2 linked regions of the Alligator mississippiensis genome follow. The protein of the gene in region 1 purifies or fractionates together with the protein of each later gene. This does not show direct contact. Links are inferred from orthologs where the notes say so. Each region holds a gene or a part of one and is shown in the gene's direction. Other genes may lie near its edges. The genes, in order: cytochrome c oxidase assembly factor 3 homolog, mitochondrial; cytochrome c oxidase subunit 4 isoform 1, mitochondrial.

Region 1 (11,785 bases):
AAAGTTTGTATTCTAGACAAGGAGTGTTCACTGAATGAAAGCACTACCTGCAGCATAACATTCCTCTGCACTGAGATGGATATATCAAACAACCTCCAACCCAAATGAGGTTTGCATCTGCCTCTCAAGGCATGCAGTGCTGTGTTTGACTTGCACTTCTCCTTCAACAGTGTCTGCTACCTGAATTTTCTGTGGGGACAGATAACTGGATTAGTGGGGTATCTAGTACTGAAGATCCTAGAACAATAGTGCCCAACCTTTTGGGGCTCTAGGCCATATGCATGGTGTGGGATGGGTCTTGACTAGTCCCTCGGTATGCTTTGGCCCCTCCCCCTGGTCCTATGCATACCTTCATGCGTACTGGATCAGCCTTGTTGCCCCACTGCCCTGGTTTCTTGCATGCTGGTGGGATCCTGTGCACAAAGTCATATCATCTGGCCTGTGGGGCATGAGAATTCAGCAGTAGGGGAGTACTAGCACTATTCATTGCCACTGCTTCTGCCCTACCCTTCCCAAATAATTTCCAGAGCCCTCTGAGCCAGATCACACTGCTCTGCAGGCCAGAGGTTGAGAACCCCTGCTGCAGTATGCTGAGAGCTGTTACTCTGCAACAGCTACTATACAGAAGGAAAATACAGCCTTGTTTGCAAAGGTTTTATTAGGGGATTTATCATGAGCATTTTGTATATTCCCAAACCATGGTGGAGTCTTTTCTATGGGTGGCCTTGGCAATCCAATCAAAGTTGTGAACTTCTTCAAAGGACACCCAAGCCTGCAAATTTACAAAATCTAGCTGCTGTTTTTTCTTTAAGAAAAAGAAAACCCTTTTTTTTGTCCCAAATGACACTGCTATGCTCTCTCCATAAGAGAGGTAGGGGATAGTCTGCAGAGGCTGTTATACAACTACTATAGCTCATCAGAAAGGAGTTAAAGTTCCTTGTTTGGTATGATAAAGGATGGATCCTTTCCAGTAACATGCTGGCTTTGAGAACGCTGTTGAAAAAAAACCAAATAAATCCATGTTTACCGTTAAGTAGTGTAGTACTGAAAACATCATTCCATCCTTGCATTGGTTCCAGTGGGTGTAGTGCCAAGACTGTGCTTTAGTATTGCATATAAAAATTCAAAAACGCTTTGTGAGGTAATGCCAGTGATACAGTTCAAATGCTCCACAACCTTTAAAAAAAATAAACCCCTACTTCAAATACTTTTTCATTTTGAAGTTTAAACTGTGAATACTTTTAAAGGGAAAGAAACAAATGATAATTGTCATGCCACCACGATACAGCTAAGTAACCCTTTGCAGTGGACCAAATGAAGAACCTTTCAGTGGGAGAAAAGAGAATTGAGTTTTCACACTTAGTTCATTCTACTGGAGATTATTAGAACAGGCCTTTGTTAGTCTTAAAAACAGATACCTTGATTCTAAGCTGACAAGTATCCTGTAGCTAGTTTGGCAGAAATCTGGTGTGCTAGAGAGGTTACTTCCATATGAAGATGCTGCTATTGACAATCATAGATTTGTTACAGGTGTAAGAAAGTTGTAAGCTTTATTTTGGAAAGAAATTGGGGTGGGGGAAGGGGCAGTTTCTTTTGCAAACTGGAGATAATTGAAGCTTCTGCCTTCCTGATAATTTCTACCTGGTCCTATCCCTGATTTTTTTTCTTGTTAATCTTAAATTGAAATGTTTCTCCCCTCAAAATAATTTCTCTTTGCACTGTCTAAATGGTAGAATTTTTTCATTCTCCTAAGGCTTCTAACTGCAGTGACTCTACCTGATTCCAGTGTTCAGGGTTTAGTATGAAAGCACTTGTTCCAATAATTCCAGCTGCCAAGAGCATAAAATCTTCTTTTACTGACAAAAACTTTGCTCTGTACAAAAACAAAAACCAAACCAGTGATGTGTGGTTTAAAATGAGGCGGGTTCTGTATTTCAACTACAGTCATGTTTAATATTTGATTTTGTATATGTGGGACTCAGTAAACACAAGTAACGTTCTAATAACATCTAGGTACAGCCCTCCCCTTTAAGGTCACCTCATGCTGGTATTAATAGCTTCAACTTAAAAGTTCAGTTTATGTACCAGTTTTCTTAAAGAAAAGACAAGAAGCATGAGTTAAGGAACATTCTCCCAGTCTCCTTCCATAGCAATGTTGCTAAAATATGTGGAAATGTTGAGTGAAACTAGTTCTATCCAGAACCAACTACTATTAATACACCACACTTTGTGCTAACTAGTATTGACATTGTCATAGTAATTTATCTTCTAAACTCTCCTTTTGCAAATACTAATTAATTTATGTCTGGGAAATTAGATAAATACTCATTCTTCTAGAGATGTATCAATAGGGAGGAAGGTACTCTGATTTATCCAGCATGACAAACAGTCAGTGCAGAATTGGAACAGACTACCTCCAAATGCTATTTTCTATGAAAAGGAAGTCTTGTACAGAGACTGTTCTCAGCATTTCAAATTTACTTAAATCAAGAAACTTGTCTCATATTCTTAGCGCATAAAAAATGCCCTATTAACTGGTATTGCAAGTAACCAACTCATTTTGGTTTACAAAGTACTTCTGTTACTGTGCTGTCAAACTGCAGCAAATGTAAGTTAGAGATGCAAGTTTGTGTCCTTCACCAGCCTTTTTTCTCTAAATACACAAAACACTGGTATTAGTTCAAACATGTCCTTAAGACATGTATACTTACATCTGGAGTTCATTTGGCGTCGAATTTTCAATAGAAGTCTTTAGCAATGTATTGTAGATAACATCGCGCATGAGGTAAGTTAAATCCAGCAGATGCACACACATTTCATGCAATTGTTTTAAAGACAGTAAGCAGCCATTATGTCCTAAGGTAAAGATTTTAGAGGGTCAGCTGTATCTATTTTGTGGCCCATACCAAATTAGGAAAAATATTAGAAGCATTAGAATTGGTGCCTAAGCTTTTCAGCAGTGACTGCCATATCCTGAAAGCCTTAACTTGATGCTCCATAAGAGAATGTGATTTTACTCAGGTCCTCTAAGGCATTCATTGAACAACACAACTCACTTTGGAAAAAGTATGACCTCATATAGCAGGGGGGGGCAGGGAGTAAATCTATTAAGTTTTTATTAGTGTTTTGCCAAATGAGTCTAGGAGCCAACTATATCTTGCGAAGCAGAAATGCTGGATTCCTTGATTTGTACAACAGGGTAAAGCTTATTTTATCATGTGTGGCAGATGACTCAAGCAGATTTCTTATTTTGAAAGGTAGAACAAAACCTCAGATTTACCCTAGGAAATGGTACTAAATAGGGAGAATGCATCAAATCTTTAGGTTTTTTTCCCCATTAGTAATGATGGCTTGCCCACAAGGACAATCTTTTTTTTTTTTCCACTGTCACTTCATATATGGATTTTACCTCTACAAAAGATTAATCTGACACTCCTTCAGATTCACTGTTTCCGTATTTTCTACTTTTTAGCCTTTTGGTTTCTACACAATTGTTTCCTGCTGTTCATGCCCTTACCCAAGACTTCCAGGAGCAACTCAACATAGGCCAAAGGAGTTGGCAAATTGATCTGGAAGTGTAGACCCTTCAAAATGGCAAGTTCTGACTCCAGCAATTCTTGTTTAGTGAATGAATAGTCTAAAGACTGCAGAAATTTCAGAACTGTGTTATTGTTAACTATCTGGAAGAAAAAAAGTCAAGCTTATTTTGTGTTATTTTTAAAACGTAACCCCCCCTTCCAGCAGTGAGATGTGTTTTCTCAAAACCCATGCTTTAATTATTAACATGACTTGCTGATAATATTTCCTGTTTCAGTTATGCCTGCCACTAGCTTTTATGTCTAATGTGTCCTCTAAGCTAGAAGAGGAAACCAAGTTGGATAAGTTTTGCCATATTACTGCTCCCCTGCCAGGCAGTACCAGATACTGAGATTCATAGAGGTTGGTGTCCTACTGGATGCGAAATCAGCGATTCTGATTCTAGGTATCTTCTTAGTAGATCTTATTTTATTTGCATTATATACACCTGTTGTAGAATAAATGTGCCTCTATGAAATCTCAGCTCACTTCTCAAAAAGCAGCCAAAGAACTAACACTAGCCAAATTAAAGCAGAGAAACTTGTTACAGGATCTCTAAAAGTCACGAAGTTAACAGCGATTCAATATCACTCCAAAGAGTGAATGGGGCTTGTACGCTAAGAAAAAGAACTTAGGTAAACTGTGAGTCACAGCAGTACCTTATGTCACCCACCACAATACTGGATTTTGTGCTGTTATTAGCAACTAGATGACACAAGTGACGGGACTCTGAGCAGTAACACTGTGGGTTGTTGATTCTTTTCCCCAGTTTGTTGCGAAGGTACAGGGGTATTTTCTGAGTAAAAATTCCTTTTCTTAAAATGGATGGAGATCTAGATCTCCTACACCCAAGCTGTTCTTAATTCATAGGTCACTGCTGTCTTTGAAAACCGTAATAAGTTCCGTGACCTGGAGATAAGAGAAACTCAAATCTAAATGACAAATGCTATCCTATACTGCTGAAAGCTGCAACGAGGAAGTGTTTGGTCTGCTTACACTGTAGTGGAAGGAAAGTTTGCTTGCAAGCTGGATGCAAGACACAAGGCGCAGCATAAACATGTTGTGCATCTGTGCTTTCAAAAAATTCCAGCCGTGGCTCCGTCCTTGTTCACCGCTTTCCCCTGACTCTTCAGTGGAATTATACATCTCTTGTACCTGCTTAATCATAAACCTGCAAGAAAAGCCCAGCTCTCAGGAAGCAACTACCTCTTGCTAATGGAAAGAAAAACTGTTTGTGTGTGGATTAAGAACACTCTACAACTAGAAATCACAGGTACAGAGACGGTTAAAAGGCAGAGAGAAAAATATTCTACAGCCTGCAGCTGAGCATTGCAAAATGAGGAGTATACCCTATTTACTGGAACCCAAGGCAGATTTCCTTCCCCTCCATGCCCCCTTCAGTATGGGGGAGGGCTCCAGGCTGGGGCTCTTGCTGCCTGACAAGGAGTGGGGAATGGATTGGGTGGTAGGGGGAAAGACACCAGTGGCCTCCCCCTGCTCCTACACACCCTCCCCTGCCACAGAAACCACCCTGGCTCAGCCCAGATGAGGGCAGGGGAGTGCCTGTGATTTCAGCTGCGGGGGACCCACACCAGGGCCAGAGCTGCTGTATAGGGGAAGCAGAGAGCAAGTAGGGCTTTCCCTAACCACAGTGGGGGTCGGCGGGCAGGGGGAGAAAGCTTAAGACAATCTTCCAACGCTCGGGCAACAACGCCGGGAGGTGCCGAGGACCGCCGTGTTCTTCACGCGCAGAATCAAGCTCCGGAGGGCTTCAACGGGGGCGGGGCGAGGCGGGCCCGCCCCCCGCGCGCGGCGGTACCTGTCGAATATCTCCGCCGCCTGGTAGCGGGCTGGGGGGTCCAGGCGCCATTTCTCCGCTAGGAGGAAGATCAGTTCTGCGGAGAGAAGGGCACTAGGAGACCCCGCGGGAGAGGAGCGGCGCCCTCCGCGCTCAGGGGAGGGGAGGGGCCGCTCCGCAGGAGCGCGGCCAAAGCAGTGCCCCGGCCGGGGCGGGGCGCGCGGAGCCGTTGCTGACCCGTGGAGCGCGGCCCACGGAAGCACCCCGCCGCCGCCGGCAGCTCGCGCAGGCGACGCTCGTTGTCGGCCGCTAGGCGCAGCAGCGTCGCCTCCAGCAGCTCCGGAGCGGCCACGCCGAAAGCCGGGCCCGGCAGCCGCCCGAAGGCGCACGGAGGTCGGGCGGGGCCGGCCTGGGCCATCCCCACAGCTCGCAGGGCTGCCACAGTCCACCCCCAGTCTCGGCGCTTCTCCTGGTCACGTGATGTGAGTCCCCCAATCGCGGGGCGCCTTCCTCCCTCTCTCCCGCCTCGAGACGTTCTGCTGCATGTGGAGATTGGCCAGGCCTGGGAGCGAGGTTTGAGAGTCTGGTCAGTCCCTTTCTGCCCTTATCAAAGGTGGTGGGGACGACGCCCGGCACGGGTGACGTCACGCCGGTCCCGTGCGGATGTGACGTTTCCGGCCGCCCGCCCGCGCGCCCCACTTCCGCGGCGGAAGAAGCGGGTGCGCAGCATGGAGACGCCGCCGGGTCCGCGCGAGGAGGTGGTGTCGAAGCGGATCGACCCCGCGCGGGACCCGGACCTCAGCGTCGAGCAGCGCCGCATCATCCAAAGCCTGGAGTACGCGCAGCAGCAGCGCGCCATGCAGCGCCGGCTCCGCGGCCGCAACGCGCTGCTGGCGCTCGGCATCGGCTCCATCACGCTTGGCATCTGTATCCTTCAGGGGCGGGGGTGCGGGGCCGGGGGGCCCGGGGCGGTGCTGGCGTTTTCCTGAGCGGGCGTGCAGACGCCTACACCTTCTACTCGGTGTCCCAGGAGCGGTTCCTCGACGACCTGGAGGAGGAGGCGGTGGCGGCCCGCGCCCGGGCGGCCAAGAGCGCGACCAGCTGACCCGGCTCGTGACGGCCCGTGCGCCGCCCCCCCCCCCGCGGCGCACTGACCCGGAGCGAGCGGCCCGTCCCCCCAGGCCACTTGGGCAGCAGGCAGGGATTTCCCTTATGGCCATTCACCTGCGGTGGTACCTGGGGGGTATTTGTGGGGACAGTTTCAGCAACCTACTTCCCTAAGAGGTTTATGTTGTTAGAGGGAAAATTCACAGGTCAGTCATTCATTTTTATCATCTCACTGAATCCAACATGCGCACCAAAGGCTGGCTGGACGTGTGGATACTAGTTAGTGGCACAGAGCTGTCCTTGTCCTACTCCTTCTCTCTCCTCCAGCCCATGCACAAACCAGGCAACAGAAGCTGACATTTGTCTTTCATCCATCTTTGGCAGGAAAGGGGGAGAACAGGAATGTATTTTTCCAGAAGGAAGGACAGTTTGCTTTCGGATGCCCCTGTGGCCACTCTTGCTCTGCTGCTGGAGTTGTGCGGTCTTTGAGCAATAAAAGACTGCTGCCCCTTTGTTCGCTCTACTTTATTCACAACCACTGTACAGGGAGGTTTTTACATCATCAGTCTGTTCTGTTTTCTACCAGGGCAGAGGCAGAACTTCACATGGCAGCAGCATCTCTCACAGCTCAGCTAGAACAGGTGGGGAGCTGCATGGTAGCCTAGGGCTAGCCACCCCTGGCTCTGGAACAGCAGACATTGTCTTCAGCATAGGGCAGAGCCTCAGGCAGCCCATGGTGCAAGGCAGAAGGTTTGCCTGATACTAGAACACACAGAGGCATAAGTGCACTTGGGCTTTTTCTGCTGGCTTACAGCTCTGGGTCAAGGGCACCCCAGGAGACAAAAGCATCCATCCACACACAACCTGTGGACTCTTGGGGCTGGGAGCAAAGCAGAGGCAAGAGCTGCCATGAAGGGGAGGGATGTTGGCACACACATTTCCATAGCCCCAGCCCTGTCTTCTGCAAACATGGCCTGGGGCAGAATGTGCCTGAGGAGTCCCTCAGAGACTGAGTCACACTTGCTGCAACTGAAGTGAGAAGGGTGGGGTGAGGGAGGAAATGAAATGCAGTGGGAAAGGCTGGAGGGAGCTGACCTCTTTGCAGCGATCACCACAAGGAGGTGCTCTGAAACAAGGTATGAGGCCCTCCAGAGACTGCTGCTACATATGTGGAGTTGGGCCACTGCCCTGTTGCATACTTTTCCCTTTCTGGTGTGCCCTCCCCCACTCCCTTCAGAGCCAGGCTTCCCCTAGTTCCCTGTAGCTCCTGCAGTCTGAACAAGGGGAGGGACTGTGCAGAGAAGGGGCAGGACTGGGGGGCTGTAAGGTGGTTGATCACATGCCTAGAGCTTTGGCTCAGGCTTCTGAGGCTGAACAAGGATGGATTGACCTCGCAGGTATGTGGCTCAGCCAGGACTTGGTGCAGCAGCACCAAGAGGCCAGGCACTATACAGACCCACAGCAGGGCTGGGGCTGAGGCAGAGCCCAAACCCCCAGCCACCCCTTATCTGTCTCAAGGACCCATGGTCCAGGCTGCCAAGGGCCTGTACAGCAGCCCCATGTGCTCACTTCTCATTCATGCGGATGCAGCCCTCGATGATCTCCTTCAGCTCTGGCACTTTCACTTTATAGAAGCTGTTGGGTTTCAGGCCCTGTGGAAGAGCAGTCACCCTAAGTCCAGCAGGTCCCTTCCTGCAAGGGCCACCCACAGCTCAAAGGATTGCTTAGTGGTACAGGGCTCTCCCAGACTGGTGTATGGGCAAGGGACATGTTCCCTCCAGGACTCTGGGGCCTCAACCTACAGGGCTACAAGCTGAGCATGGAAACAGCTCCACTGGGAGGGTCTTAGAGGAAACACCTTCCTTACCCAATCACTCGCCTTTGGACATGCCCTTGCCCTTCACAACCTGGAGAGACAGAGCCTTTCACCCCCCCAGCAACGACTGAGCTCAGCAGAACTGCTCAACGCCAGGACAGCTTCCACCCACCAGCAGTGAGGGCCTCTTTCACCTCCCTGCACCCCACATGTTTGCACACATGGGGGTAATTTAAATTCCTGAGCCTTGTGGCTTCCATCTCCCAGGTCAGCAATCATGGAACAAACCAGCCCTGCACTGGATCCAGCCAGCTCAGTGACTGAGGAGCTGAGGGCACAGAGCCAGACGGGAGCGGCTGGATCTGGCTCCCTAGCTCTGTTCCACAAGCACGCCTGCAGCTGCTGCCCATGCACAATGCCCACTAGACATGCTGAGGAACAGCTGGTGGGCAGTGGATGGCAGCCAGGAGCAGAGCAGGGGCTGCAGTGACAGCATTGCAATGGGAAGGGAAAGCAGCCTTACCCAGGAACAGCAGAGGCCTCCAGGTAGTGCAGACCACCTGCAAGGCCAGGACAGGGCAGCCTGGAGAAAGCAGAGGCTAGATGCACCCCCAAGAGCAATCCTCTCCACTAGCCCCACCTCTCAGGCACAGGCAACCAAAGCAAGCCAAGGGGACAGATGTAACAGTCTCAGCCCAAGTACCTGAAAATGCACAACTGTTCCTGGCACAGCCCCTGGGGCAGGAGGGACCTCTTGGAAGCAAGGCCATCCAGCACAGGGCAGTGCACACCAGCGTCAGGGGCTCGGGGCAGCAGAGACTGTGCTAAGGATAGGGCCACTCTGAGTATAGGGGTGCCCAGCTGCCCCAGGGGGCTCACTACAGAGGAAGGGCACATCAGCTGGCAAAGGCTGCATGTGTAACAGAGCCAGAGCCCAAGCTGCTGCAGATCCCTTGTGCTGCCTGGCAGGCCCCTGCTGCCTGCCTCTGTGTAGGGGAGCAGCTTTCCAAGGACAGGGCTGTACAGAGAAAGGCAGGTGCCAGGGCTGGCCAGACTCCACACTGCTGCCAGCTGAGGCACACATCCTCCCAACCTTGACAGTTATTTTTAGCATTTTACATAACTTGTGAAGTGATGGACTCAAGGAGCTGGTGAAGCCTGACAGTCCTGGGCAAGAGACTGGCCCTAAGCAAGCCTGCCCCATCAATAAGCTCCCCCCACAGCCCTGCTCATCCCTGCACTCTCACTGCTGCCCAAACAAGCCTGGAAATTCCCCAGTACACCCAGTCCACTGAGCTTCAGGTAGCTGCAAGGGACAAGAGAAACAGCTGTGAGCAGTGGGCACTCCAGATGGGCTGCACATGCAGGGAGGTGGCCTGGGGCTGGGCTTGGAGACACCCTGATGGTATTGCCAGGCCCACCTCCCACATGCCTGTATGGCCCAAACGCGTCACTGCCCTCTTGACTGGGAGTCACCCAAGTGACCAGAACCTGTGAGGAGCCCATTTCGGTACCCAGTTGCCCCAGCCTGCATGAAGAACGTTCTCCTGCCACAGGCTGCAAAAAGCAGGAGCCAAGCTCCAAAAGCGCCAGGAGCAGGCCAAGACACCAGTGTGGGGAGCCCAGCCACAGCAAGTGGCCAGAGATGCAGCATGAGGAAGTGACATTGTACAGGCAACACCACCAGCTGCTGGTCAAGCGGAAAGTGCCACACCCTGGGGCTGCAGACCTGGGCACATGGGGCCAAACCCAGTTACTGAGCACCCAGCAGCAGCGTTTTGTTGCACTGTCCACCAGCTCCAGGGCCTCTTCCCACGCTCAACTGCAGCCATGCCAGCCCAAGGGGATGGCAGACTCTGCCCAGCACACAGTGGGCCTGGACAGATTCTGGCAGAGATGGCTGGAAACATGTCCTGCTTTGTGCTGGGCCTCGCTCCATGCGCCTGCAGCATGGCCCAGGTTGCTGGGAAGACACACACACACACACACACACACACACACTCCCTGCTTGCCCACTGCCCCATGCTGTACATTTCCTCACCCTGACATACACTATATGTCCCCACCTATCCATCACCATAAAACCTAAGACTCCCTCTCCCCACATCCCTTTCCCCCCCTATTACCTTTCCCCCAACCTTAAAATACTCACGTTTTCAGGGTGCCAGATGTCATGAGCTCAGTGACCAGCACAATGCAGACCTGACCCTTGACACATGACTTCCAGGAGTTATAGAATCGGACAACGCTGGGATGCGGAGAGCAGGGCACTTGGACTCTCCGCGGGAGGGGAGCGGGGAGCGGCGCCCCCCGCGCTCAGAGCAGGGCAGGGGCCGCCCCCCACACGCCGCCCCGCCCCTGACAAGCGCGGCCGGAGCAGCCCCCCCAGACAGTCGCCCCCCACCCTAGCTCCCGCCTCGAAACGTTCTGCCGCACGTGAAGCCCCGTGATTGGCCAGGCCTGGGAGGCGGGTTCGAGGGCCAGGGGGCGGTCACTCTCGGCCTTTATCAAAGATGGCAGCGGCAGCGCCCCGCGCGGATGTGACGTTGCTGACCCGTTCATCGCACTCACGAGGCGGAGGGAGCGGGCGCGGAGCATGGCCGTGCCGAAGCAGTCGCGCAAGGAGTTGGTGGCGGCGAAGGCGCAGATCGACCCCGCGTGGGACCCGGAGCTCAGCGCCGGGCAGCGCCACCTTGCGGAGCACCTGGAGGAAGCGCAGCGCGTCCTGAAGCGCCGGTCCGGGGGCCGCAAGGCGGTGGTGGTGACCGTCCTCGGCGCCCTCGCGCTCGGCTTCTGTATCCTGCCGGGACCGGGGCCGGGACCGGGGCCGGGGTGGGGGCGGGCCAGGGGCGGTGTCGGTGTTTTCCTGAGCGGACGCACAGACGGCTACGTTTTCCACTCGGTGTCCCAGGAGTGGTTCTTCGGCGACAGGGAGGAGGCGGCGGCGGGGGCGGACCGGGAGGCCAAGAGCGCGACCAGCTGACCCGGCCCGCAGCGCACTGAGCCGGAGTCTCCCAGGACTGCATTGTGGGGGGCAGTGGTGGCAGGGGCCTGGCAGTGCCTCGCCAGCCCTCTTCACCCCTGCCAGTGGCACCGCTGTGCACCCTCGCCTCTGTGCGCCAGGACTGAGAGGGTCACTGGGTAGGTTGGACTGGGGCACCAGCCCTTTTCCCTGGCGCACTTCCTGGTCTCTTGCTGAGCCACATCTGCCCGGTGGTCCCCACACACAGCCCGGGGTGGGCATGGTGGTGGGGCTCCATGCTGCTGCGCAGGGGGACTGGGGGCAGCCCACCTTTGTAGGGAAAGGGGCTTAGTTGGGGCTTCACCTAGCCCAGGATGGGGTGGGGATGACCAGCCCAATCCTGATCCACTTGTATAGGGGAAGGGGCTTGGCCAGCAGAAGTGACCCTGTTGCACTGTGGGGAAAAGCCAGTGTGAGCACCCCTTCCCTGCAGAGAGAGGTTGCTAAGGAGCTCTTGTCCACATTG
Region 2 (13,218 bases), on another chromosome or scaffold:
GAGGCTGAAAGATATTTTGGGCCAAGACGGCTTGACTATTTTCGAATGCTTCAAACAGGATGTTATCATTTAAATAGAGCAGATAAATACTTTCATTTGAATCTTAATATTGGGCAGCCTTAATTTATAGCTAGAAAAATACCTGGATGTATAAGCCTGAAAGCTTACAATGTTGTACCAGAGGAAGGTTCTCTTTTTGATTATATAATGAGCTGAATTCAAAGGGAAAGTTTAGCATACACCTGTTTGTGGATCAGGCTGCAGTTGCACATGCATTTGAGTATAATTTTGAAGATTTTTCACCCCAAATACTATTTTGTTGAACCAGAAAGTCTAAACAACTGCACTGAACTACTTCAGTGACACACAGCAAACAGTAAAGCTATTCTGTCACTCCTGTGCTTTGAAAATCTTGCAAAAAGGACTACAGATAAAATTACCCTGTTTTCCAGCTTTGTATCAGTGCAGCTATATCAGCATAAAGCCAGGTATTAGATGCAATGCCCTGGTATAAGATAGGATTTTCCCTGTTAAATATATGATTCAAACTCCTTTTGGCACAAGCTTTTGCCTGCAGTAGGGGTTTTCCACCAATGTGACTGTACATTAGTACAGTGATATGGATACAAACTTCCCTGGACTGGAAAAACCCTAAGCATGATCTTTAGTTGTAAAATATTTAGGGCACAATTTGTTCTTCAAGTAGGACTGACATGTGACAAAACTGTCTGAGTGAGTACACCTAGGGTAAAAATTTCAGGCTGACTGCAGACTTGATGTAGAGGAGCCCAACTCTAATTTTCAAAACCACCTAAATCATGCTGACCTCCAAGGGAACTTATACTCCTGAATGATTTATGGGCTTCTGAAAGTTTTCCCCCTTGCCAATAAGGACCATTCATCAGGCATGTGATGAGTAAGGAGTCTGGTTACCGCTCTATGTATGTGCTATTCTATTACAAGGCAGCTCCATAACTAAGTAACTAAGAGCTTCAATGAAACTCAGAAGCAATTAAGGATTAAATCACTTCAGATATAGTTCCCAAAGGATTCAGAGATTCATGAATTAGGAGTTCACAAGATATTAGGTAGGCAAGTGAATACGCTTGTGAATTCCAGTTATTTCCCCAATATCTGCCAATTAAATTGGTTGGCAAGCTTTCAAATACCTGGCAATTCAATAATAACCATCAGAGAGGAGTAATTCTGGAAAGATAGGGGTTTCCTCAAACTGCACAAAAGACCTTTCACAGATATCCAGCAGTATGCAGGAAATAAGGTGCAACCACATGACAGTTGTCAAAGTTAATCAACATTCACAGATTTTTTTATGTGCAATGATTTTTGTTGGCAGAGTACAAAGTGCAGCACAAAAGAGTAAACAGAAGGAGATATTGTACCAACACACCTGGCATCTTTCACACGTTCGTTAGCTTGGTAATATCCAGCTATCACGTAACTATTCTCTTTGCACCAAGAATCAATCTGAAAAAGTAATTAAAACAATTGAGCTCAGGAAAACATGACAAAACACGTAAATTATATATCTTTCCTGAGAATAAACTGGCAACTGAAGTGTTGTAATGTGTCAGCTAGCGGCTGCTGAATTTAACCCAGTACTAATATTCTTAACCACGTCAAGGAACAAAAAGTAAGTTAGAGGGAAAGAGATGGAAAATATGAGCCAAACAAGAGAAAGTAGACATTTGAATTATAAGCATTCAGCTGTGCTTTAGCAACAGGATTTGATAGGAAGAGCTTGAGTATATCAACTGACACATATTTTTAAGTCTTTCCTATTACTATTTCTGGCTTTTTTTTTTAAGCAAGTAGTTGGTGATGGAAGGTTGGGCAATGTACAGGATGTGGATGAGGGGCAATGGCACCATTTCAAAAGCCACTTTTACAGATTCTACTCAACTTGCTGGGGAAAAAACCCCAAATCAGATAGTGTTACCATGTATACGCTGTTTATTTTTTTTAAAAGCAACTGATCCCTCATATGAAAATGAAAGATATGGCAAAGAAAAATTCTATCCCTTGCGTCATTCTTTCAACCCACCCTTGTGACTAGGGGTGCTCTGCTTGTATTAGAACGGGATTCTTTTTCCCTTAAGAGTTGATCAGTGAAGATAATCTACCATTGGAACAACTTTAAAGGCGCGTGGGTGGATTTTCTATCACTTGAAGTCTTTAAATCAAGATGGAATGTTTTTCTGAAAATATATTCTTGCTCTACCACAAGGTATAGGCTTGATGACAGGATTACTGGGTTAGATTCTCTGGTCCCTGTTGTGCAGGAGGTCAGGGTAGATGATGTTAAGGCCAAAAGGGAAAAAGACTTCACCCTGTACAAACATCAAGAAGTCTACAACAGCTGATATTGTGTTTTTAAACATAAAGGAACACATTAAAATGACTTGTAAAACAGGAAAGAATCAGTGAAAGACAATAGGTTATATTGACTCTGCATCTGGTCCATAATTTCATTGTTGCTTTGAAACTATACAGTGACCATTTTTCTTGCTCACAATTAAAGAGCATCAGGTCAGGATAACCTGGGGATTTGAGAAAGAGAGAGACCAGCTAGTTTGTCCCCCACCGATATGGCTATGCAATTTAAAAACTCAAAATTGATTTGATTTACAGGATGCCAAAATTTGGTATCAAGTATATTTTGGAATCCATTTTAATCAATCTCTCACACATTTAGCAAAATAATGACAGTATTAAACTCTCTAAGCAGAAGGAAGCCACATGAATAATCCCTCATCTGCAATCTGACACAGATTGGCATTTTAATAAAATATCATCCTTTAGCATTGCTACACAATCAAGGTCCAACCACTGTTTCAATTTTAAACCCCCCTTCAAAGGTTTATGACTGCAGCTTTAATTGCTAGTGGGCTGAAACCTTGGCACAAAAGCCAATAGCCCAGACACATTTTATCAAAGAGCCTGTCAAAAAAGTTTTAAAATAAGGTTGGCTGCTCTTGAAACTGATTCCTTTTAATAGTAGACTTGTTTTCAGGGAAAAGGAACTAACCTTTAGTATTTAACAGTAGTCTGGCTGTGTTCACAATGGCTGCTTTTAAGAAACATCAGGTTGCTATAACAGTACCAATGCTAGCCCTTAGCATCAACAAGACCCTGATATTTTATCGCATTACTGTCTAATCCCGATTGGAGCGGGTCAACATAAGACAAGATAAGACCTAGCACTTATGTAGTGCTTGTCGAGCAGAAATGTCAAGTGCTTACAAAGGGGAAAAAAGTAAATAGCCAGCAGAGGCCAGAGAGAAAATCAGCAGGGAGGATAAATTAGAGGAGCTAAGGGCCAGGCACTGCTAAAGCCCCATCCATAATAATGCCATTCAAGGAAGATTTCATAAGACTTGTGAGTTGAGATGAGCAGACAGGCAGTTTCACAACTGTTCTTTTGAACAGACAGCATCTAGACATCAGCAGGGAGTGAGGTTTTTCCTTTGCTTTGTTTTAAAGAAAACAAATAAAAAACCTCTTTAAAAAAAGGAAAATGTGGTTGTAAAACCACTCCGGTTAACCAGGGGACTCAAAGCCAGGTACAGCCTCCAAACTTATCGTGACTCAACTTTTCTCAAATGATAAGATTTCACTCTGATAAACACAATGCATACCTATTTCCCTCAATCATTTTCAGAACTACTGTACTTAATGACAGAAATGATTGCTGGCTTCCCTCATGAGCACACTGTAGCCAAAGCACCATCCAAAAACTAACATCTCTTTGAACCCAGTCTTGACAGGCCACAAGCACTCAGTGGATGCTGAAGATGCTCGAGTACTTTGCAGGACTCTTCCAATACTCTTTATGGCCTTTTTAAAAAAAAAGATATAAATAGAATGGTAAAGATCTGAACTGAGAAGTGATAACTGTCAATACCCCCTCATTGGTTTTCAAGGAATTTTTATCTTTGTTGGAAGAAAAAAGCCATAACATGCTTTTTTACAGCTGCAGTTTCTGAAAGGGCCACTGGCCAGCGTAATGCATTCCTTCTCCCATGCTGATTTGAAGATGATTGAAGAGGTTGCTTCAACTGCCATCTGAAAAACAGGATTTTGGGGGAGGGCTCTTTCAAACACTAATTTTTAGCGTTCAAAAATGACCATATGGCCAAGTCCTGCACTGAAAAGATCCCCCACCTCCCCCTTGACTAACAAGTATAGAATGATGTCTGGAGATTACTAATTTCATCTAACGCTCATATATAAATCAAAACAGTTTGAGCTGAAAACCATCACTCACAAACGGCCCAATTCACTTTCAGAACAACCGACACGAGCAAAAGTTTAAGGTAACAGTCCCTAGAAAAACTCAATCCTCTAAAGCTGGCCAATGCTTCAAGACCCTTTAACTATCTAAGTGTTTCTGGCTTAGGATAATAGCTTAACTGCATGCATTGCACCGACTTGCTCGTTTAAGCTGGCTTTCTAACTTGGGGCATTTTGCACTCATATTACTACACTGTATGTAAACTGACAAGACAGCCTCTATTTTAAAAGCCAAAACAATGCAGTTGAGCTCTATGAGCGGCTATATAAATATTTACAGCCATCCTTAGCCTTTGCACAAACAAAAAAAGCTTTGTGCTCTTCTTGATGTCTCAACATTGCCAAGGATTATAATTTGCAACCCATATAGATGAGCTTTATAATTAGGACTTGCAGAAACTGATTAACTGTGAAGGGAGAAAAAAAAAAAATCAAATCAAATCAGGATTCCCCCCCCCACCTTTTTTTCCTTTTAAAAATCAATTACTTCGGAACAAATAAAAAGCTTTGAGGAGTCAGCAATGTGAGGACCATAAAGTTTTATTAGCTCTCTGACAATTTCATACTTCTATTTTTCAGCTGTGTAAGAAACCAGATCCATGGAGTAGGACCCAATCCTGCAATAAGCTGTACAAAGGATCAATATGGATCTTTAAAATACTTTCCACGACACGGGCAATTTCCCCTCATAATATAATTACTGACCCATTCTCCTGCATCCTCATTTCAGCCAACTTTCCAAGTACTAAAATACACAGCAAAAGTGCTTGGTACAGCAGTCTCCTAGCACGTTGCGTGCTCGTAGCGTTGGAGTTTGAGTTTTGAACGTGGTTACTCTGGTTCTGGAGCTTAGGCTTAGAAAGGCTTGGCAATGCCCGTCTTGCTCTCGCAGCACCCACTATGGTTAATCACTGGCTTCATAAGCTGATCTGCATACTCCACGTTGCAGGATCGGGGTCTAAGAAACCAAGGCCCCCAACCTGAATAATTTACTGTTAACACTAGAAAAAAAACAAGCCTAAGGAAGACCTTTTCAAACCCAAACGCTTGTCTACGTCCCTCTCAACTACACTGCAGATCCAATAAAAGAAGTCATCCATCCTGCAAAAAGTCTTGCCTCTCACACAAGTGTCTTTGCAATGTTTGCAGTCATTTAAAAAAACAAAGATATCACCATTTTTCACTAGGACCACACTGCTCAAACTCGATCGCTTGCAATTAAGCAGCTAACACCTCGCTCTGCGTGCAACCTGCTCCGAGGGTACAGCCCCGTACACCTCCACAGACGCCCAACTCACAGACCCATCCTCCTGGCTCGGGCAAAAATGTATGTACGTATCTAGGCATCCACATGTGACAGCTGAGCCGCTTCCTGAGCGCTGCCAGAGGTATTACGTGTAAAGAAAGCACAGAGGATTTATCGTTTTTGATGACTGGTATAATTCCCATTTTTCATACGGTGAAAACTCCCGGGCCTATCGGTCACGAAACCGTAGCTCGGCCCGTTCGGGCACGAGCCAGTTTGACGGGGAAGGCTTGCATCGACGTACCGCGAGGTTTGGAAAGTCGCAATTTCAGGTCGTTTAAAGTAAAGGATGAGAAACTCCTGCCAAAACGGTCAGCGTTGGCATGCGTCTGCTTGAACCGACTTTAACGGTGGGGTTTGAAGGCTCGAAGGGACCGTGCCGGCGATCTCATCCGACCTCCTCTACGCCACGGACACCGTAACCGTTACGTCCAGTGCCTCCCGCGCCTCGTCTGGCTTCGGTCTGCGCGCGACGGCCTATCTTCCAAAGCCATCTTGATTTAAAGACGTTACGAACGCACCCAGCACACGCCGAAAAAATACTAACGAAGAAATTTCAACTTTTAAGACCATTAATTTTTTTTTTTTTTTTACTATTCATCTGCAGCCGGATACGTACCTATTTCAGAAGCAGTTAAATCACTGCCTGATTACATGGATGAAAATGCAATGACTCCGATATGATCCAGTAACGTGCCAGTACATAACATGGAGTTAGCTAATTCAGATTAAAGATACTTAAAATTTTTTTTTTTTTTTTGGGGGGGGGGTTGTTGCGGTTTTTTGTTTTTTTTAAAAGAAGTCTGGCACCCCCGTTATGGCGCCGTATTCCCTCCTTTACAGCGCCTTATCCCCCGTTACAGCGCATTAGCCCCTTTTTACAGCGTCGTACTCCCCCTCCTTTTACAGCGCCGAATCCCCCCCCCTTACCAGGCTGAGCGCCACCTCGAGCATGGGCGCGAGGGCCAGGGTGCCGTGGAAGAGCGGGACGCAGTCCACGAAGAGCGTGGGGGGCGCCGAGTCCTTGCGCGCCGGCGGCGGCAGCTTCTCGGCCACGAGCAGCCCGTTGACGGCGCAGTGCGGGTACTTGGCGCCGTGCAGCACCATCTTGCAGTAGGCCTGCGTCGTCAGCTTCATCGTACCCCGCGCGGGCCCCACCGGGCCCGGCTCCCTCAGCACCGCCGTCGCGAAACGGCCGTCAAGCAGCGCCGGGGGACGGCGCGCGGCGAGGGACAAAAAGGGCCCCGCCCCCTCCTGCCGGCCGTAAAGGGCCGCCGGCGGCTGGCGACGGGACGCGCAGAGGGACAAACACAGTCCGTTCTGCAGCGTGCGGCCCTACCCGCATCCCGGCGTGCTTTGCGTTTCCGCCGCGCCTGTGTCTCTTCCGTTCTCGACCGCAGGCCTGGAGGACAGGCCAGGTCGTTGGCAGCGGCGGGTGCGCGGGGTCGGGGCCGGGGCTGTTGCTAAAGGGAATGCGTTACGTGGTGTCGGGGGAGGAGGGGCTGTTGCTAAGGGCACGTTGCGAGGGGCGGTTGCCGAAGGAACACGTTGCACGGTGATGGGAGGGGGCTGTTCCTTCTTAAGGCGTTGTTGCTAAGGGAGCACAGTGCATGGTAACGGTGGGGAGGGGGCTGTTGCTAAGGGAACATGTTGCACGGGGAGGGGGCTGTTGCTAAGGGAACATGTTGCATGGTGGGGAGGGGGCTGTTGCTAAGGGACCACGCTGCATGAAGGGGGCTGTTGCTAAGGGCATGTTGCTAAGGGAACAGTTTCCGTGGTGATGGGAGGGGGCTGTTGCCAAGGGGATGCATTGCATGATGACATGGGGGGAGGCGCTGTTCCTAGGGGCCATTGCTAAGCAAATGGGTTGCATGATAATGGGAGGAGGGTAGGCGGCTGTTCCTAAGGGGTTGTTGCCAAGGGACCATGTTGCCTGGTGACGTGGGGGGCAGCAGGGGGCTGTTTCCAGGCATCACCTTGCGAAAAAGCTATTGCTACGGGGCTGTGTTGCAGGGCGATGTGGGGTAGGGGGCTGCTGCTAAGGGGCAGTTGCTATGGGGATGTGTTGTATGGTGATGGGTAGGGAGCTGTTGCTAAGGGAACGCATTGCATGGTGATGGGGGGGGGCCCCCAGTGCCTGCCCGCTTCCCCTTCCCCTGCAGCTTCCTGGTTCCCTGCAGCTGGGGGAGGGGACCCAGGCGCTGTGTTTAAAGGACAGGGCAGGGCAGGGCAGCTGGTATGGAGCAGAGCCCCTTCGTTGGGGTGGTTTTGCATCCAGCAGGATGAAAGGGGTGCGGTGACCAGCTCTATCTGTAAAATCCCTGCAAGGATATAATGGGTTCAGGCAGAGAATTGAGGCCTCCTCGGTCCTTCCAGCAGGCTGTGTCTGGCAGGTCAGGCGGGAGCGGAGGTGCTGTTGTGGCGTCACCAAGAGACGCTTGCTTTCTGGTCCCTGGTGCAGTCCCCTTGCAAGGTCAGGTGTTCCCTGCCAGGCCTTGAAGCGCGCACACAGTGTTTTTAGGCCTGATGTTACCTTTTCAGACGCCGCTACCTCCTTTCTACATTTTCTATAAATATAAGGTGCTTGTGAGAACTTGTGGCTGAGCTCAGGGTTAATCCACTGAAGCGCTGGCGACCCGCTTCCCTTGACAGCACCTCGGACTAGGCTCTGCGCAGGGGCCAGTGGAAAAGCCTGAATAAGGAGTCCAAGATTTTTGAAAAAGGATTGATTTGTTGCAGTGTTTTTCCTTACGCTTTCTCCACACTTTTTGTGGGTGCAGAAATTTTTTGGGGGGGCATATGCATACCCACCTCCTGGCCCACACACTGAGCGGCTGGAGTCTGGGAGTGGGAGGGGGGCAGCTGTTTGGGAGTGAGGGGCTGCGGGGCTGCAGGTCAAGAGCGAGGCCTTGAGTCCAAAAAGGTTGGGAATGCTGTTCTAATGCATAGGGTGTAGATTTCCTCCATTTATATGTATGAATCTGCCATCTTTGGCTGGTAACTATCTGCTTTTTTTTCCCTCTCCCATAGGATGTTGGCTTCTAGGGCATTTAGTTTAGTTGGCAAGCGAGCCATTTCTACATCCATCTGCATGAGAGGACATGGACAAGGTATGCTGTGTGCTTTTCCTGTTGCACAGAGATAGGAAAAGAGAAAACCTTCAGTTATTTCTATGTCCCCTTATCCTGAGCTTTAAATTTTGACAAATGCAAGCGCCTATCAAATCCAGGTTAATCACTGGTAGAAGTAAGGAGGAGTAGAAAGCTGGCTGACATGTTGTAACAAGACTTTGCTTAGAAAGAACATCCATTTTTTTTTTTTTTTAATGACTACTACATTGTTCAGTAAAATTGTGGTCTGCCCCTTTTCACATTTCTCAAGAGCAAAGCAACATAAAGCTTCCTTAAGACTTAAGTGCACACTGAAATTATAATTACTCTGAGCGTGCACCTTTATTTCCTTTTAATAGCAACTTCTATAGGGCCAAACGTGCTGCATTCAGTGCAGTTATTCTAGCAATACACTCTGTCAGGGATCAGGCCTTTTTTTGGGTGTGTGGCTAGCTGAAGAAATAACATGCTAACGTAGGTTGAACATTTGTGACTTTCTGTGTTTGAAGATGGAGGAATATTAGATGGATATCTAGCAAAAACTACCTGGAGGGGGTGGAAGCAAGACAACAGAAGCAGAACCGAGGAATGGTGAAACACAAGTGCCTGGGTGATTGAAAGCATGTTATTAATCTGTGCCATCACCAGTAGGTGGTGTCAGAGAACAGCATTAGCACTTCAGGGATCCTGGAATTGCAAGATCCAGAGAGAGGGGATTGGAAGAAATTGTAAAGGAAAACATAAATACTTAAAGGAAGATCTACTATTTGAAATGTCAGGGAGAATAGTACTTAGTGGGAGGTGTGCTAATTGAAGCTGGGACACCCTCTGCCAAACTTTGTATTTCAGAATGTTTTAAAATCCTTCTCTTCTTTGCTGTATGATTGATGCACATAAGGTAACCTGGATATAGAGCAAATGTAATCTTCTTGGTTACTGTTATTTCCCCCTCGTTGCTGTTGAAGATAACTTGTCTAGAAGCACACTTCCCTTAAGACTTCTTGACATCCGCTTTATTTGTGGGGAATCTTAATATTGTTGCTGATAGAACTTCAATTTTTTTGGCTCTAGTATGTCAAATAAAAATTCTGAGTTTCCCTTTCTTTCTTCCCACCCTTTATTGCAGCTGTTGTGGGCATGGAGGACGCCAGCCTCCCGTCTTATGTGGATCGTCGTAACATTCCCCTGCCTGATGCGCGATACACGAAGACTCTCTCTGTTGAGCAGAAGGCCCTGAAGGAAAAGGAAAAGGCATCATGGAACGCCTTGACCATTGATGAGAAAGTTGCACGTAGGTATTTCATTTTTGAAAGCCAATCGACCCTCCTGCTGCCAGTCTGATCTCTTACGCATTCACTGTTGATGGAAATGCTCCTGGGAAAGGACAAAGCATACAGTAAGGGTCTAAGGCTAATCCTGTAAATGGATTTTTGTGGGTTGAAAGTCTTGAGGCAGTGCAGAGATACTTGTGGGGGTTAATCGACTGAAGCCGATAGGAAAGAGTGCAGTATCAGCAGTTGGCTAAAGCACTAAACACCTGGACATCTTTGAGGTTTTAGAGCAGTTAGAAGTGCTGACTTAGAAGCAGAGACAAGGGTCATGCAAAGCAACTTTGAAACAGCCTCAAGCTGCTGAGTGCCTGGCTGTTTCAGCCAATAGCTTTTCTTAAGAGCCCTGTTTTCAGAGGTCTTTCTCTTAAGCTGGACTGGTGTGTAGGCCATATCCTGTGCTCATGAGCAGCAAGCATGGCTGGTTTACTCTGCCTTCCTTGGAAATATCTTGTGTGGTAGATCTTTAGATCTCCTGTCTTTCCCTCTTTCTACTTCACCCCTATTTTGCAGCCACCATCTGTGTCTAAGTCCTTCAGTTGGATGGTTCAGACAAAGCCCCTTACATCCTGTAGATGAAGTTGCTGGCTGAAGGAGGGGGAAACTGGAAAGTGAACCTAGGTTTCAAACTTGGCTTAACACTTTGCACCTTCTGACTCCTTATCTAACCCAGCTTTTCTGACATTGCATGGTGCTATGTTCTGTGGTGAGCCAACTGCCAGAAGTTCAAGAAGGTCTTGTACCTTGCTACTTTGAACAATGGCTGATCATATTAATTGCACAGAACTGTAATAAAGTAAGAAACTAACCTAAACATTGCCCTAAGTTTGGTTAAAGTGATGGGAGAGATGAAAGTCTGTTGGTGCAGGTATTAAGTGAGGGCTTTTCAGTACAGGATTGGCACAGAGAATGCTAGTGTCTTTATTAAAATGACTCTAGATGCATGTAGTTGGCCTGCAAGCCATGATGTTCTGTCTCTTCGAAGCATCTCTTAAATGCAAGAAACATTTGATCTGCCCCCGCCACCCCCAGTAACTTTAAAAAAAAGCTATGAGGCTTGACTCAGACCAGAACGGAAATAGCTTTCTTAAAAGCCTTAAGAAACTTAAAAGCGGGGATAAGACCCAGATACCCTGACTCGCTTAGCTGTAAAACCATTCCTGTTCAAACAAATCTGGTGGGTGAATCCGTCAGACTCTTTGCAAGACTTCCAGCAAAAGATCTTTCTTGCTAGTGCATTGGTTTCTCCATCTACAGAGTGGGCAGTGCAGTTCAACAGCATGTATTAACCTTTGTGAAATACCTTAGTCTTTCTGCATGAAAGATGCAGCTTAATTGCAAAGTTGTTATAACATCCTTGTGCTTTAGAACTGGCCTTACAAATCTCTCATCCCTGCAAAGGGGAGACCCATCTGAATGTCTGCAGTGTTTGCACCCTGGAGTATAAAGAGAACATCTTGAAACTTTCTTTTCAGTGTATCATATCAAATTCAATCAGACTTATGCTGAAATGAACAAGGGAACAAAGGAGTGGAAGACTGTAGTTGGTGCCACTGCCGCCTTCCTTGGCTTCTGCGGCTTGTTCCTCGTGTGGGAGAAAATGTACGGTAAGTAAATGGCTTGGAAGAATCACCTTACTACTTTTAAATCCTTCCCATCCCAAAGCTTCTGTGCACTTCAGACAAAAAATAAAATAAGAAAACTTGGAAACTGCCAAAACTCTAGTCTTGCATTACACTGCTGTACTGATAACTACTACTGTTTGTCGTCAAGTGATGATTCACAAAATCCTGAGCCTTTTTGAGCTTTACAGTTGCAGATAAATGACTTAATCAGTGGGGGACTACAACTGCAGAAAGATGTAATTTAGGAAACTGTCTTGCAGCCATCCCACTGCTCTACTTCTCTGCTGCAAAATTCAGGCAATTCTGTACAGTCTGACTTCATCCCTTCCTGCACATTTGGTTCTAACTGGAAAGAAATGAAGAACAGCAGATTCTCCCTAAGCCTGCTTGCTGTGTCAGGCTGCTCTCTGGTTCCTCTCGTGTTCAAAATCTCCAGGCTAGATAAGAAAGCGGCTCCTCTGCCCATCATGTGCACACTGCAGTCAAACTAGCTTTGTGCAGCAGTGAGTCATTAGGACTCCTAGCCATCATATGATCACCTGGTAACGGTGTAGGCTAGCAGGAGAAGGCTGGCTTTTTGTCCCTGATATTTTTGGTAAAATAGCTGTAACAGGAGGCTCAGAATCTGCAGGAAACAAGGTGAAAGCATTTCAGAATAGTTCTCAGGTGACCTATGCTGGGCGGGTATTTGAATATGTATTAGCAATAGGGCAGTTGCTCTGAGAATGGGGAAGAGCATATTCCATTCCCTAGTAACTTTTGTGCCTAACTCCCTTGTATCTCAAAACTCCAACTGATTTTTTGAATTGCAGTTTTTGCGCCTGTCCCTCACACCCTTTCTGAAGACTGGGTGGCCAAGCAGACCAAGAGAATGCTGGATATGAGAGTTAATCCCATTGAAGGCCTTTCTTCCAAGTGGGATTATGAGAAGAACGAATGGAAGAAATAAAATGACTCCCGGAACCACTGGACCTGTTCTGCTTGAATTTGCAATGATTCCATTACGTATCTGTGACCTCATTGCTTCTGTACTGGAACAAATCCTCCATTTCAATATACCTGCTAATAAACATCTGGTTTACTTGAAAGTTTTTTTTCATATTGATCTTAAGTGCTTTCATTGTTGGCTGTAATTTGCTAAAGGACAAAGTCCTTTCTAAACACTACCATGTTGTCATGACTTGATGTATGGATCAGCATTAGAGTTGGCAAAAGGGAACAAAGTGCTCATCTTTCCAGTTCATAGAGGGGGTCTTATTTCTTGGAGAGCAAGATTAAAGATGCAGTTTAAAAAGCTTCAGCATGTGAGCTCGCATTCATTTGTGCTGAGAGTTGGGGGGGTTTTGTGTGTTCTTGCAGTAGTGCAGTGCTCTGCTCATGTACTTCTGTCTGGCAGCAGGACTTCCAGCTTTCATTAGCAGTTCCTGTGCCAAGGTCATAGCAGAGGGATGCTGAAGTGTCTGGGAAGGTTTTTTTCCTTCAGATCCAATCAGAAATTTGTGCTGCTGCCTGGAGTACGCAGAGAAGCAGATCAGTTT

What was found.
Region 2: the proteins of cytochrome c oxidase assembly factor 3 homolog, mitochondrial (region 1) and cytochrome c oxidase subunit 4 isoform 1, mitochondrial purify together in Homo sapiens (affinity purification with western blotting; 3 studies listed by BioGRID and IntAct, with this or other methods). This does not show direct contact. The link is inferred for Alligator mississippiensis from reciprocal best matches to the Homo sapiens genes COA3 and COX4I1.

Annotation. Positions count from the first base shown.
Region 1 is NC_081827.1:152,237,084-152,248,868, reverse strand, and holds cytochrome c oxidase assembly factor 3 homolog, mitochondrial, read left to right. Parts: upstream 1-5,773; 5' UTR 5,774-5,854; coding exon 5,855-5,856; intron 5,857-5,987; coding exon 5,988-6,301; intron 6,302-6,375; coding exon 6,376-6,479; 3' UTR 6,480-6,994; downstream 6,995-11,785. Other genes in the region: CNTD1 (cyclin N-terminal domain-containing protein 1), read right to left, coding at 1,054-1,176, 1,777-1,873, 2,712-2,856, 3,518-3,680, 4,573-4,743; cytochrome c oxidase assembly factor 3 homolog, mitochondrial, read left to right, coding at 10,894-11,092, 11,180-11,280. UniProt on the Homo sapiens protein: Core component of the MITRAC (mitochondrial translation regulation assembly intermediate of cytochrome c oxidase complex) complex, that regulates cytochrome c oxidase assembly.
Region 2 is NC_081833.1:73,660,161-73,673,378, reverse strand, and holds cytochrome c oxidase subunit 4 isoform 1, mitochondrial, read left to right. Parts: upstream 1-6,930; 5' UTR 6,931-7,035; exon of another isoform or gene 7,036-7,052; intron 7,053-8,647; 5' UTR 8,648-8,648; coding exon 8,649-8,727; intron 8,728-9,853; coding exon 9,854-10,018; intron 10,019-11,530; coding exon 11,531-11,662; intron 11,663-12,492; coding exon 12,493-12,629; 3' UTR 12,630-12,980; downstream 12,981-13,218. Other genes in the region: EMC8 (ER membrane protein complex subunit 8), read right to left, coding at 1,409-1,485, 6,548-6,754. UniProt on the Homo sapiens protein: Component of the cytochrome c oxidase, the last enzyme in the mitochondrial electron transport chain which drives oxidative phosphorylation.